Oryctolagus cuniculus: one gene and its partners. The protein of the gene in region 2 purifies or fractionates together with the protein of the main gene of each other region. This does not show direct contact. Links are inferred from orthologs where the notes say so. Each region holds a gene or a part of one and is shown on either strand. Other genes may lie near its edges. The genes, in order: TOM1, CUEDC1 and SMURF2.

Region 1 (3,645 bases), on a different chromosome or scaffold from region 2:
CGACTCGGAGTTGAACACGGTCTAGAGGGTGAGAAGCAGCGTCAGCGAGGCCTCCGGGCAAGGTCAGGGTCAGAGCCCCGCGGGCTGGCTGCTCACCCTCTGCGGCGTGTGGATGGGCGACAGCATGTCCAGGTCGGTCATGGGAAACTCCAGGCCCTTCCTGCGCAGGTCCTCGTACACGGTGACAACACCTGTCAAATCGGGCGAGCTGCGGAACGCGTCAGCCCAGGACTGAGAGGGGACAAGGGGACACGGCCAGTAACCACTGCTCGCTTTCTCCCCTGCCAGCCTGCCTGCCCTGGCACCTGGCACGAGAACTTTCCTCCCGGACACGCTGGTCCCACCTTTGCCCAGCCCACTCCACAGCAAGGCCTCTCCCCACGCACATCGGCTAACGGCTGGGCTGCCCAAAGGTGAGAACGACAGCCTGGGGCAGACACGTGGCAGGGGCGCCTCCCTCCCTGGCTGCCTCCCCGCCCCGCCCCCTCGCGCTGGCACTCACTTGGATGAGGTTGAGCACCTTGTCGTGCACGATGGTGGGGGGGTTGTTCTTGGGCAGGATGGTGCGCACCAGCACGCCCTCCACGAAGTCCTGGCTGGCCACCAGCACGTGGAAGCGGTGCCCGCAGTTCTTGACGCAGGTTTCCAGGACCTGGAGGGTCGCAGGGTGCCACTGAGCGCCCCAGACCGTGGCGGGGCGGGGGGCCCAGGCCCTGCACTCTCCCAGCTCCTACCCCGTGCCACAGGAAGGCCGAGCGGAGGAGGTGGGACTTCCTATAACGAGGTCCTACAACGTGCAGAACTGGGGACAACGCTGGGACGTGGGGGCTTCCTTTCTGGGTGTGGCTGCGGAGGGGCGGGGTGGAGGGGGCTGCTGCCTGGAATGCACTGGTGTCAGCAGCATCCTGATGCCCCTCCCAGCTGAACACGGTCAAGACACGGTGGCTCTCCAGGAGGAAATCAAAGGGCACCTGAGCTGTCTGTCACCTGGCGACACTGAGGCCTGAGGACAAGCAGGCTAAAGTCCTTCTCCAATCTCTGCCCCCACTTCCCGGCAGGAGCTGCTGGGGCTGTTCCCTGCAGGCAGAGCCACGGGGACAGAGCGCTCCCCTCGCCCCGCCCCGCCAGGCCCATCCTGAAGCCAGGCTGCCGGGCACGCCCGGCTAGCTCGGCACCCTGGACTGCTTCGGGGCTGTGGGCAAGGCTGTTCTCAGCCACTGGCATTTGTTTCATGTTCACTTCCATGGTGTCCAGGAGCCGAGCAGCACCCAGGGTGGCCTGCCTGGCTTTGTGTCCCAGGAAGCCTGGTGTACCAGACTGTTACGTCATGGGCATGTGCCCCAGTGGCCTCAGTGCCCCCGCCGCAGAACTCTCCCGCCATCCGCGTGCACCTGCACTGCTCACAGGAGACAGCTTTGCCTGTGGACATTTCCTTCCCAGCCCCAGGTGGGCAGGAGACCCCCAGGCCTGAGGTCCTGGCTCAGGATGAACGGACAGATGGACAGACGGATGGGGCACTCACCGTGAGAGCCAGCATCACCTCGTGGAAGTTCTTATTGCCCACGATTCTCTTCTTCACTGCTCGGAAGGCATCCTTGGGGCTGGGAAGGACGGAAGGACGGATGGCTTGGGGCGGAGCCTCCCAGCCCAGCGCAGGGCTGCTAGCCTGAGCGCGGGAGGCCCTGCCGGGCTGCGCTGGCCCCGCTGGCCTGTCCTCCCGTGCTCTGTCCGCCCACCTGCCTGGCCTCCACTTGGCTTAAGCTCCCCCATGTTCAGGGCAGCACACTAGGTATGGGGACACGAACAGCACCAAGCACGCCACTTCCAGGGATCTCGTGTTCTGGGGAGACCCAGGGGCTGGGGGAGGAGGGGCTGGGGGAGACCTCTGCAGTGGCGGATCCCATGTGAGGTGATGGAACAGTGGGGGAGGGCAAGAGCAGGGGCGGAGGCCCTGGGGCGGGAGGAGCTTAGTGCCTTGGACTGCGTGGGGGGAGGGGAGGGAAGGTGGATTCATGTAAGGGCAGTGAGAGGCCACCTGCTCTCTGTCCCTTCCATAACTCCACCGCCACCTCTACCCCCACCCTGCACAGGTATGACCAGGGACGCTCGCCTGCCTAACGGCCTTTGCTCACACCCTCACCCTCACCACAAAGGCTTCTCACGCCCACGCCCACAGCCTGGGGCCCAGCTGAAACCCACCCTCCGCGGCGCTGCCCCAGGTTCCCAGCATCCCTGGGGTGTACGGCGGTGGGCACGGCCGTGTATGTGGAGCCTCCGGGCGGGCAGCCCCCTTGGACACCTCCCCTGTGGCGCCCGCCTGTGGCAGGAGCACGGGCTGCACGTCCCCGGGCAGATGAGTGGCCGAGGGGGCCGTCCTGCTTCTGCTGCCACCGGCTAAGTCAGGGGTGTCTGGAGGCCGGCCCGGCCCCAGGCAGGAGTGGATCCCGCAGCGGGGTCAGAGCCATGCGCCTGGTCAGGGCTGCCAGAGAGCCAGGGCAGGGCAGGGGATGCTGCTCCAGGCGGGCGGCAGCCGGGCCCAGAGCATGAGAGAAGTTTCTAGCCCAGTGCACTCTGGAGTAGCTTTCTGCTCTTGGCCTGACCGCCGGCCTGGGGGCGTCTTGGTGTTCTATGGGGATGCATTCCCACTTCTTGCAGAGGGCCCTGGAGGAAAGGGCCACACTCCCCGCGGAGCCAGGCCTGGCCCGGGGGCTGCTGCTGTGGGCCTGCCACGTGTCCGGCACTCCCTACTATGTGTCACCTCCTGCTGTGGCCTCCTTCCTGCTGCCACCTTCATTGTGGGGGCGCTGCCCTCTGCCCACCACGCCCATCCCCACCCTCAGCTGATGAGTGCAGACATGGGTGTGAGTGCCCCCAACCCCAGCTCCAGGGCCGGCCCCGAGAGCGGCTGAGGAAAGCGCTGGAAGGCGCCTACCAGCCTTGGCCCTCTTCTGCCTGTGCCCCCACCTGCCTGAGAGGGACGGGTGGGGCGGGGAAGTGGGTTATCCCAGTGAGGTATGGCGTGGGAACAGGTCCTTGCCGATCGTTGACCCTCACTTACCAGCAGCACTTGCTCTGGCAGTGCCGCCCCCCGCCCCCAGCTGTGCTGAGACGATGACCACCACACATCCCCTTTCAGCTCCCACCAGGGACCTGGGCTGCAGGTGGAAGGGCCTCACAGAGCTTCAGAGAGGCGAAGTGACTTGTCCACGGTCACAACAGGTCAGTGACACGGGGTCAGAGATCTGAAGCCACGCCCCCAGACCTCCCTCCGCGTTACAAGCCTTGACTCCCCGGCTCTGAGCTGGACAACGTCCTGACCCGCACCAGAGACGCCCGCACGACCGGCCTTTCCATCCTGCTTCACGTTCATGCCTCCTGCGGCCCCCTGGTTTCAAACCGTAGGGAGATGGAGTCCGTTCTTGCCCACAGACAGCAGGAGGGAGTCCCTGATGTGGTTCCTGCCCAGAGTGCAGAAGCACACCCGGCGCCACCTCCCAGGGCCAGAGTCTCTGCCTCTGCTTGTCTGAGGGAGCGGCTGCACACAGGCTGCTGCTTAGAGGGGCTGCACACGGTGGCGCCACCCAGGGGCACACTGCACACCTGCCATGACCTTGAACTTCACACCTCTGGACCCGAATCGTGGTT
Region 2 (3,645 bases):
CCTCCTGCATCTCAGCCCCTGTGTGCCCTTGCTGGCCCGGGAGCCCCCTCCACTGACAGGAATGTGGTCCTTTTCCAGATCGATTGAAATACGAGTCCCAGAGATCCAAATCTAGCAGTGTGGCTGCGGGAGGCGACTTTGGCTTTCCCTCTTCTGTCCCAGGTAAACTTGCCTACCTTCAGAGGACCTGGGGACACAGGGGCTCACACCCCATTCTTCTTCACACAGTCGCGGTTTATGGGGTAGGGTGAGGACACAAATGAGGCTGGGGTCCTGGGCCCCTAAGCAGGGGAGTCTGGGGGGTCCACTGAGCAGCCGGGGTTCTCACCAGCGCAGGAGCGGCGGGGACTTGGGCGCCCACAGTACAATCCACAGGCTGTGCCCAGAGCATGGCTGCAAGGGGACACGCTGCACCGCGTGCTGGGGCTTGGGGATGGGAAGCACTCAGAGACTTACGGGGCTCGCTTTCTGCCCTGGGGGAGCTTACACTGGAGCACGGGGAGGGGAGGGCAGGGTTAGTCTGGGCAGGGCTCATTTGTTCATTCATTTACTTATCAAAGAGCTGGGGAGCAGCTGTGAGGTGCCGGTCCTGCCCTAGGTGTCAGGGGAAGGGGCATTTCAAGCTTCGTGCACAAAGGTAGTGAGAATCAAGAATTGCCTGAAGAGGGCCGGGCTCCTTCGCTCAGGGGCCCTCACTGTGGGAGGAAGGGGTGGGCCGTGCTGCCATTGGGGTGCACGGACTGGAGGGGCATGGGGTACACTCGGCAGGTGGCACAGGGCAGCTGGTCAGTCAGTGCCCACCTCAGAGAGAGGCTCAGCAGCTTTTGCCTGGGACAGTCCTTACGTGCTATGGTGAGTGGGGAGACAGAAGGGTGGGGACCTCGGTGGATCCTAGCTCCGAGAAAGAAAACACTGGGGGAGCTGATTTAAGCAGCAGACTGGAGGCTTAGGCCCAGCAGAGGCGCATCTGGGAGTTTTAATGGGAGCCTCTTGTCCTTGATCCCGAATTAACTCGGGGCGTTGGGCTGCTGAGATGGATCCCAGTGACTCAGCGGGGACTTAGCAGGCAAGGTGACTTGGGCTTAGCCAGGCTGCAGGGGCAGAGCAGTGAGTTAGGAGGGCAGAGACAAACCCCAGCAGGCGAGGGACAGAGAAACCCTGAGCCAGCCAGGGCGACCCTGGCTGGAGCTGGGCCCTGACTCTTGGCCAGGCCCCTTCTGGTTCCTACTCCTCGTCTGTGTGTGGAGGGAGTGATGTAGGGGCTGGCCCTGGAGGGAGGAGCCAGTCACCCTGACCCACTCTCCCCTGCTGCCCTCCAGGATGCTCAGGTGTAGGGAAGCCCCGGGCGTAGCTCCTGTTGACCTCCACGGCATAAATGCTCGCCTCATGGCCAACGTGAGCCCCCAGCCTGACTATGCCGGCGGCCACGGCAGGCCTTTGTGTGCTGCATGCCTGGCACCAGAGCCCGCAGGGAACCCGGAGCTCTCCTTGCTGTGGACTCCCAGCCAGGGAAGGGCCTTCCCGGATGGAAGGATGGGGCCGGGACAGCCCCGACCCTCCTCCCCTCCGAAGACCCCAGCCCTTAGTCGGTGTCTCCGCCTTCAGGAAACAGTGATGCCAACCCTGCCGTGTCCGAAGATGCCTTATTCAGGGACAAGTTGAAACACATGGGAAAATGTGAGTCCAGCCCGTGGCCCCTGCCTGTTCCAGCGTTGCCCCGAATTTTTAACACAAACGGCCCGAAAGGAGAGAGGGAGCCACCCCCAATTTTTAACATGGCTGACTCCTGATGAACCCAAATGACATTTTAATCACAGGCTGGCTCCCTCGGCCTTCCTGCCTCACTTCTGTGTTCAGCTGAGTCTGGATACAAATTAAGTTTTAAATCCTCTCCAGCCAGCTGTCCGCAAGGAAATCACACTCCATGCATCCTCTGGCCCCAGGGTCAGCGTTCTTGCTCGCTGTGGCCTGGCCGGGCCTGCCCAAGCTCTTCTATGGGGCCCCAGGGACCTCTTGCTACCAAGCCCTGCCAGCCCGGAGCACCCCCTCCTGGCCATGGCAGACCGGGGGCGGGGGGGGGGGGGACAGGGCTGTCACTCGCCCCTTCCCTCTGCTTCAGGGAAAATCTCGGATTAGTCCTGGAAATCCCAGCACCAGCTCGGGAGGCAGCTGGGGGAGGGGCCACGGCCTGCGGCAGCTGGGGAAGGAATACCCGGATCCTGGGCTGCCGGCTGGCCTCGGCCCGGGCTCGCCCTGGCCTCTGCTGCCCCTGCAGGCCGACCTAGCCAGCAGCTGTACTCCAGAGGCTGCCCCCTCCTCTGCCATCCTTGTCACCTCCCCCTCCCTCCCAGGGAGGCCATCTGGCGCTCCGGCTGCCCAGCGAGGGGCTCACAGGTCTCTCTGTCCCCAGCCACCCGCAGGAAGCTGTTTGAGCTTGCCCGGGCCTTCTCCGAGAAGACCAAGATGAGGAAGTCGAAGAGGAAACACTTGTTGAAGCATCAGTCGTATCCTTTCCTCCTGGCACCGGCCTGGGGCAGGGCACGTCCGGCTGCACTCCTGAGGCTGGGCCTCCCACAGTGGGGGGACCCGGCTCCGTGGCCTCCCCATCCCCTGAGCCAGGCTGCCAGCTCGTGCCTGTCTCCCAGTGCCAGTCTGCAGCTCCAGCGGCTCCTGTCTTCCTTCTGCAAGAAAAATGGTTTCTTCGCCATCCGCAAACCTTCTCCTGATTTCTTTTTTTTTTTTTTTTTACAGATTTATTTATTTATTTGAAAGTCAGAGTTACACAGAGAAGGAGGGGCAGAGAGAGAGGGAGAGAGAGGTCTTTCATCTGCTGGTTCATTCCCCAGATGGCTGCAACAGCTGGAGCTGAGCTGATCCAAAGCCAGGGGCCAAAAGCTTCTTCCGGGTCTCTCATGTGAATGCAGGGGCCCAAGGACCTGGGCCATCTTCCACTGCTTTCCCAGGCCATAGCAGAGAGCTGGATCGGAAGTGGAGCAGCCGGGACTTGAACCGGCGCCCCTTTACCCGCTACGCCACAGCGCCGACCCCTCCTGATTTCTGCATCTGTGCTGCCCCACGATGCTCCTGCCTCCCCACTCTCCGCAAGCAGCAAGAAGGGCTGCCACACTTTCACTCAGATGCCCAGCCCACGTGTCCGACAGGGCCCAGGGTGGTGGGAGCCCGCAGGCAAAGGGGAACAGGGAGAAAGGTGCTTCTCAGTCCCCAGAGGTGGGGCACGGTGACCCCAAGGGAGGGCACCCGGGGCCTGGTATTGGGGGCAGGTGGGTGCGGTGGGAGCCTCCTGGGCTTGCAGGGGTGGGACTGAGTGGACCACAGCAGTGGGCCCCCAACCCCCCTACTCCCGGGACAATTTTCCTGAGCGGCTCTGCAGGCTGGGGGCTGCGGCGTCAACGGCCAACCTCCTGGACGACGTGGAGGGCCACTGCTGCGGTGAGGCTGGCCAGGAATCTTCAGCCCCGGTTTGCCTGTGATTGGGGCGCCTCCGAGAGGGGGTGCTGGGTGTTGCGTGGGTGGACCCACCCTGACCGGAAGGGAGCACCCGGCCCAGGGGTTGGTGCAAGGACCCGTGTGGACTCCCCCTTCCTATTGGCCCTGGAATGGCGCCCCGGCCCCACCTCCACCTCA
Region 3 (3,645 bases), about 19 Mb from region 2:
GCCACTAAACAAAATCTCCACAAAGCTACTCTAGGGTCCTAAAAAGATTACTGAATCTAAGCCATACTTGCAGAGAGGATATTATCCAAAAAAGATTATGGGCATATTTCTAACACAAAAGATACCTCCTAAATTCTTTTCCTTAGAGGAGTGGCAATTACAAGGCCAAATTCCTCATTCATTGTATAAACAGATGAAAAACAGATGACATTCCTGCTATGTTCTCCTCCTCCTTCTGACTACTTCCCTCTGGCCATTTCACGAATAATAATTCAATCATAAAAGATGAGGATACGATGAGTCAACCCTATGCTATTAGATTTGTTTGCTAGCAGAGCAGTTAACAGATTTAGTTAGAAAGGACATACATTAAAGTTAAAAGAATATAGTCATGTGGGCTGGCATCGTGGCTCACTAGGCTAATCCTCCAGCCTGCAGCACCGGTACTCCGGGTTCTAGTCCCGGTTGGGGCGCTGGTTCTGTCCCAGTTGTTCCTCTTTCAGTCCAGCTCTCTGCTGTAGCCCGGGAGTGCAATGGAGGATGGCCCAAGTGCTTGGGCCCTGCACCTGCATGGGAGACCAGGAGGAAGCACCTGGCTCCTGGCAGGGCAGCCATTTTGGGGGTGAACCAACAGAAGGAAGACTTTCTCTCTGTCTCTCTCTCTCTAACTCTGCCTGTCAAAAAAAAAAAAAAAAAAGAATACAGTCATGTGTTAAATTATTTGCAGACTGGGGCAGGCGCAGTGGCACAGTGGGTAAAACTGCTACCTGCAGTGCCAGCATCCTATACAGGTGCCAGTTTGAGCCCTGGCTTGCCCACTTCCGATCCAGCTCCCTGATAATGTGCCTGGTAAAGTAGTGGAGGATGGCCTAAGTGGTTGGGCCTTTGCACCTACATGGGAGACCTGGAAGAAGCTCCTGGCTCTTGGCTTCAGCCTGGCCCATCCTTGGGTCATTGTGGCCATTTGAGAAATGAACCAGCAGATACAAGACTTCTATGTCTCTCCAATCTCTCTCTCTGACTTTCAGATAAATAAATCTTTAAATAAGAATATTCACAATTCACAAGAGATTGCTCACTCAGAAATTCCAAAGAATGAAATGACATTTCTTACAACTAAGAATTCTCACAGCACTGAAAACAAAATTTCAAAAGCATCAGAAACACAACTTTCCTTTAAAGCTAAGAGAATAACAGCCACTCTTTCTTGTTGCACTAGATGTTGTCATAATATTAACGCACTGACCTCTAACTCCTTTTCATCAAATGTCTTCAGCAGATGCTGTGGAATGACTTCATTAAATCCTTTCTGTAGAGCCAGGAATTGAGCCTCAATGCCTCGTAAAAATCTCCAGTTCACATACAGCCTGTAAGATGGGGTAAGGGTTTCACAGGACCATATATATTCAGATTTGCTAATAACTATGAATCTCTCCCTCAAGCAACAGTGCACTGTACAAGCATCTAGCATAAGAATTTAGTCTAAAGTCTAAAAGAATCTTAGACTAAGGAGCTAAATGCATACCTAACTGTGAGGCAGGTCCAATGTAGATAAAAAGTTGTAACCTTGCATTACCAAGGGCAGCATCAAATCTGGGAAACTCCTAATAAACTTTAGGGTCTAAAGTTAAAATCTTGATAAAATGTTTTTATAAACTTAAGCATATACACCAACAACCAGAACAGAGCTCATTCATTCAAAAAAGATCATCTTTCTGGTTTTACTTGAAAATATAACTGAATGGTGGGTATTTTGTTTATGTCTGGGGGAAGTTTGAGGGAAAAGGAGGTAGAGTACTCATAACAAAAATGAGAATAAATAGTAAGAGCCAATAATAGTAAGCACCGTTTGATTAACTACTCATCGTTTCCTGGAGACTGTAAAAACTCTGGAACAAGTGTGTTCCCAACAAGAAGCACATTGAACTACCTCTGTCGTGTAACATTGTGCTTTTAACTGGGACCTGTAATCATATGTGCACTGCTTTATCTATCTGTCCCCACATCTTGGAACTACTCATCTGTCAAATTTGTTATTTACATTCCCTTTTCTAAACTAGGAGAAAGAGTTCCCTACTTTAAGAAGTAAGTTTAACATTGCATCCTCTGCAAGACCTTTTTTGTTTTGTTTTTGTTGGTTGGTTTAAGGGGGCAGCAAAACTGCACTGTAGAAGTTTTTCTTTGTTTTGTTTTTTTTTTTTTTTTTTTTTTTTTTTGCACACTTGTAGTTGGAAGGCAATTATTACTGTCTGAACCCTCAGCCATTTGAGCCAAACTGAGGTCTCACATATGTCAGCAAAGAGGCCATCCTGGCCTCTCAGTCCTGGCTGACATCTATGGAATAGCAGTGTGCCATCCATCCCTGTTCTCTGCCCAAACTAGTCGAACCCTGGAATTGTAAGAAATAAGACAGTGGTGATTTTTAAGTCACTAAATTCTGTGGAAACTTATTCTGTAGCAATAAATAATACTACCTAAATGCTTAAATGTTTTTTACACTGCCATTCTATATTAAAAAAATCTCATCCTTGATAACATAAAACTATTTACCTGACATATTCTTTTTTATTTTCTTCAGTAACAGGTATACTTTTGCCATTTGGCTTAAGTTCATGCTGAATAATTTCACCATATGCATTATGTTCAACACAGAAGGTATGGTCCAAAACACCTGTAATATCATTTTCACTAGGTAGGCAAGAGAAAAGGATACATAATTAGCAAACCTAAAATACAGTCTGTTAAGTATATTAATTGTTAGAGATAAAAATACGACAGTTCCATGACAGGACAAATTAAGGTCAGACTCCTCTCATTAGCTCCTACGCTTCCACATCACCTAATTCTTAAGCAGAAAAGTCAGAGCTTTAACCTTCATACACATCAGAAGCATTTCACTTTCTGAATAATGAGGAAGAGTTCTGGTCAAAGCTAGGCTAGGCTAGAATGACCAACACAGGAAAATTATGTCTGGAGCTGAGATAACAGATCCTACTCAATCTGGGTACCCCAAGAGACCAAAAGCCTGAGGACCCCCAATAAGAAAGCAACCTGTATACTTTGTAAAAAAATATTGCTATTTTATTTTCATAAACTGAATTCCTGCAAATGACTTTTTTTTTTTTTTTTTTGACAGAGTGGACAGTGAGAGAGAGAGACAGAGAGAAAGGTCTTCCTTTTGCCGTTGGCTCACCCTCCAATGGCCGCTGTGACCGGCGCGCTGCGGCTGGTGCACCGCGCTGATCCGATGGCAGGAGCCAGGTACTTCTCCTGGTCTCCCATGGGGTGCAGGGCCCAAGCACTTGGGCCATCCTCCACTGCCTTCCCGGGCCACAGCAGAGAGCTGGCCTGGAAGAGGGGCAACCGGGACAGAATCTGGTGCCCCGACCGAGACTAGAACCCGGTGTGCCAGCGCCGCAAGGTGGAAGATTAGCCTAGTGAGCTGCGGCACCGGCCGACATTGGTTCTTACCTTAAACAGCATTAGTTTTTTGATAAGCATTGTTCTAGCAATCACTTCATTAAAAGCAATGGAGGCAGGAATTTGCTATTCTAACACATGCAGGATTGTGAGAGAACCTGCATTACACTGAAGACATCATCATATATAGTAATTTTAAAAACAATACATAAGGGCTGGCGTTAA

The links.
Region 1: the proteins of CUEDC1 (region 2) and TOM1 purify together in Homo sapiens (co-immunoprecipitation; 3 studies listed by BioGRID and IntAct, with this or other methods). This does not show direct contact. The link is inferred for Oryctolagus cuniculus from reciprocal best matches to the Homo sapiens genes CUEDC1 and TOM1.
Region 3: the proteins of CUEDC1 (region 2) and SMURF2 purify together in Homo sapiens (co-immunoprecipitation; 3 studies listed by BioGRID and IntAct, with this or other methods). This does not show direct contact. The link is inferred for Oryctolagus cuniculus from reciprocal best matches to the Homo sapiens genes CUEDC1 and SMURF2.

Annotation. Positions count from the first base shown.
Region 1 is NC_091442.1:112,909,720-112,913,364, reverse strand, and holds part of TOM1 (target of Myb1 membrane trafficking protein), read right to left. Parts: intron 1,602-3,645; coding exon 1,523-1,601; intron 653-1,522; coding exon 503-652; intron 232-502; coding exon 97-231; intron 22-96; coding exon 1-21.
Region 2 is NC_091448.1:33,327,251-33,330,895, reverse strand, and holds part of CUEDC1 (CUE domain-containing protein 1), read left to right. Parts: intron 1-78; coding exon 79-162; intron 163-1,605; coding exon 1,606-1,677; intron 1,678-2,410; coding exon 2,411-2,504; intron 2,505-3,391; coding exon 3,392-3,450; intron 3,451-3,645.
Region 3 is NC_091448.1:14,182,179-14,185,823, reverse strand, and holds part of SMURF2 (E3 ubiquitin-protein ligase SMURF2), read right to left. Parts: intron 2,689-3,645; coding exon 2,551-2,688; intron 1,368-2,550; coding exon 1,247-1,367; intron 1-1,246. UniProt on the Homo sapiens protein: E3 ubiquitin-protein ligase which accepts ubiquitin from an E2 ubiquitin-conjugating enzyme in the form of a thioester and then directly transfers the ubiquitin to targeted substrates.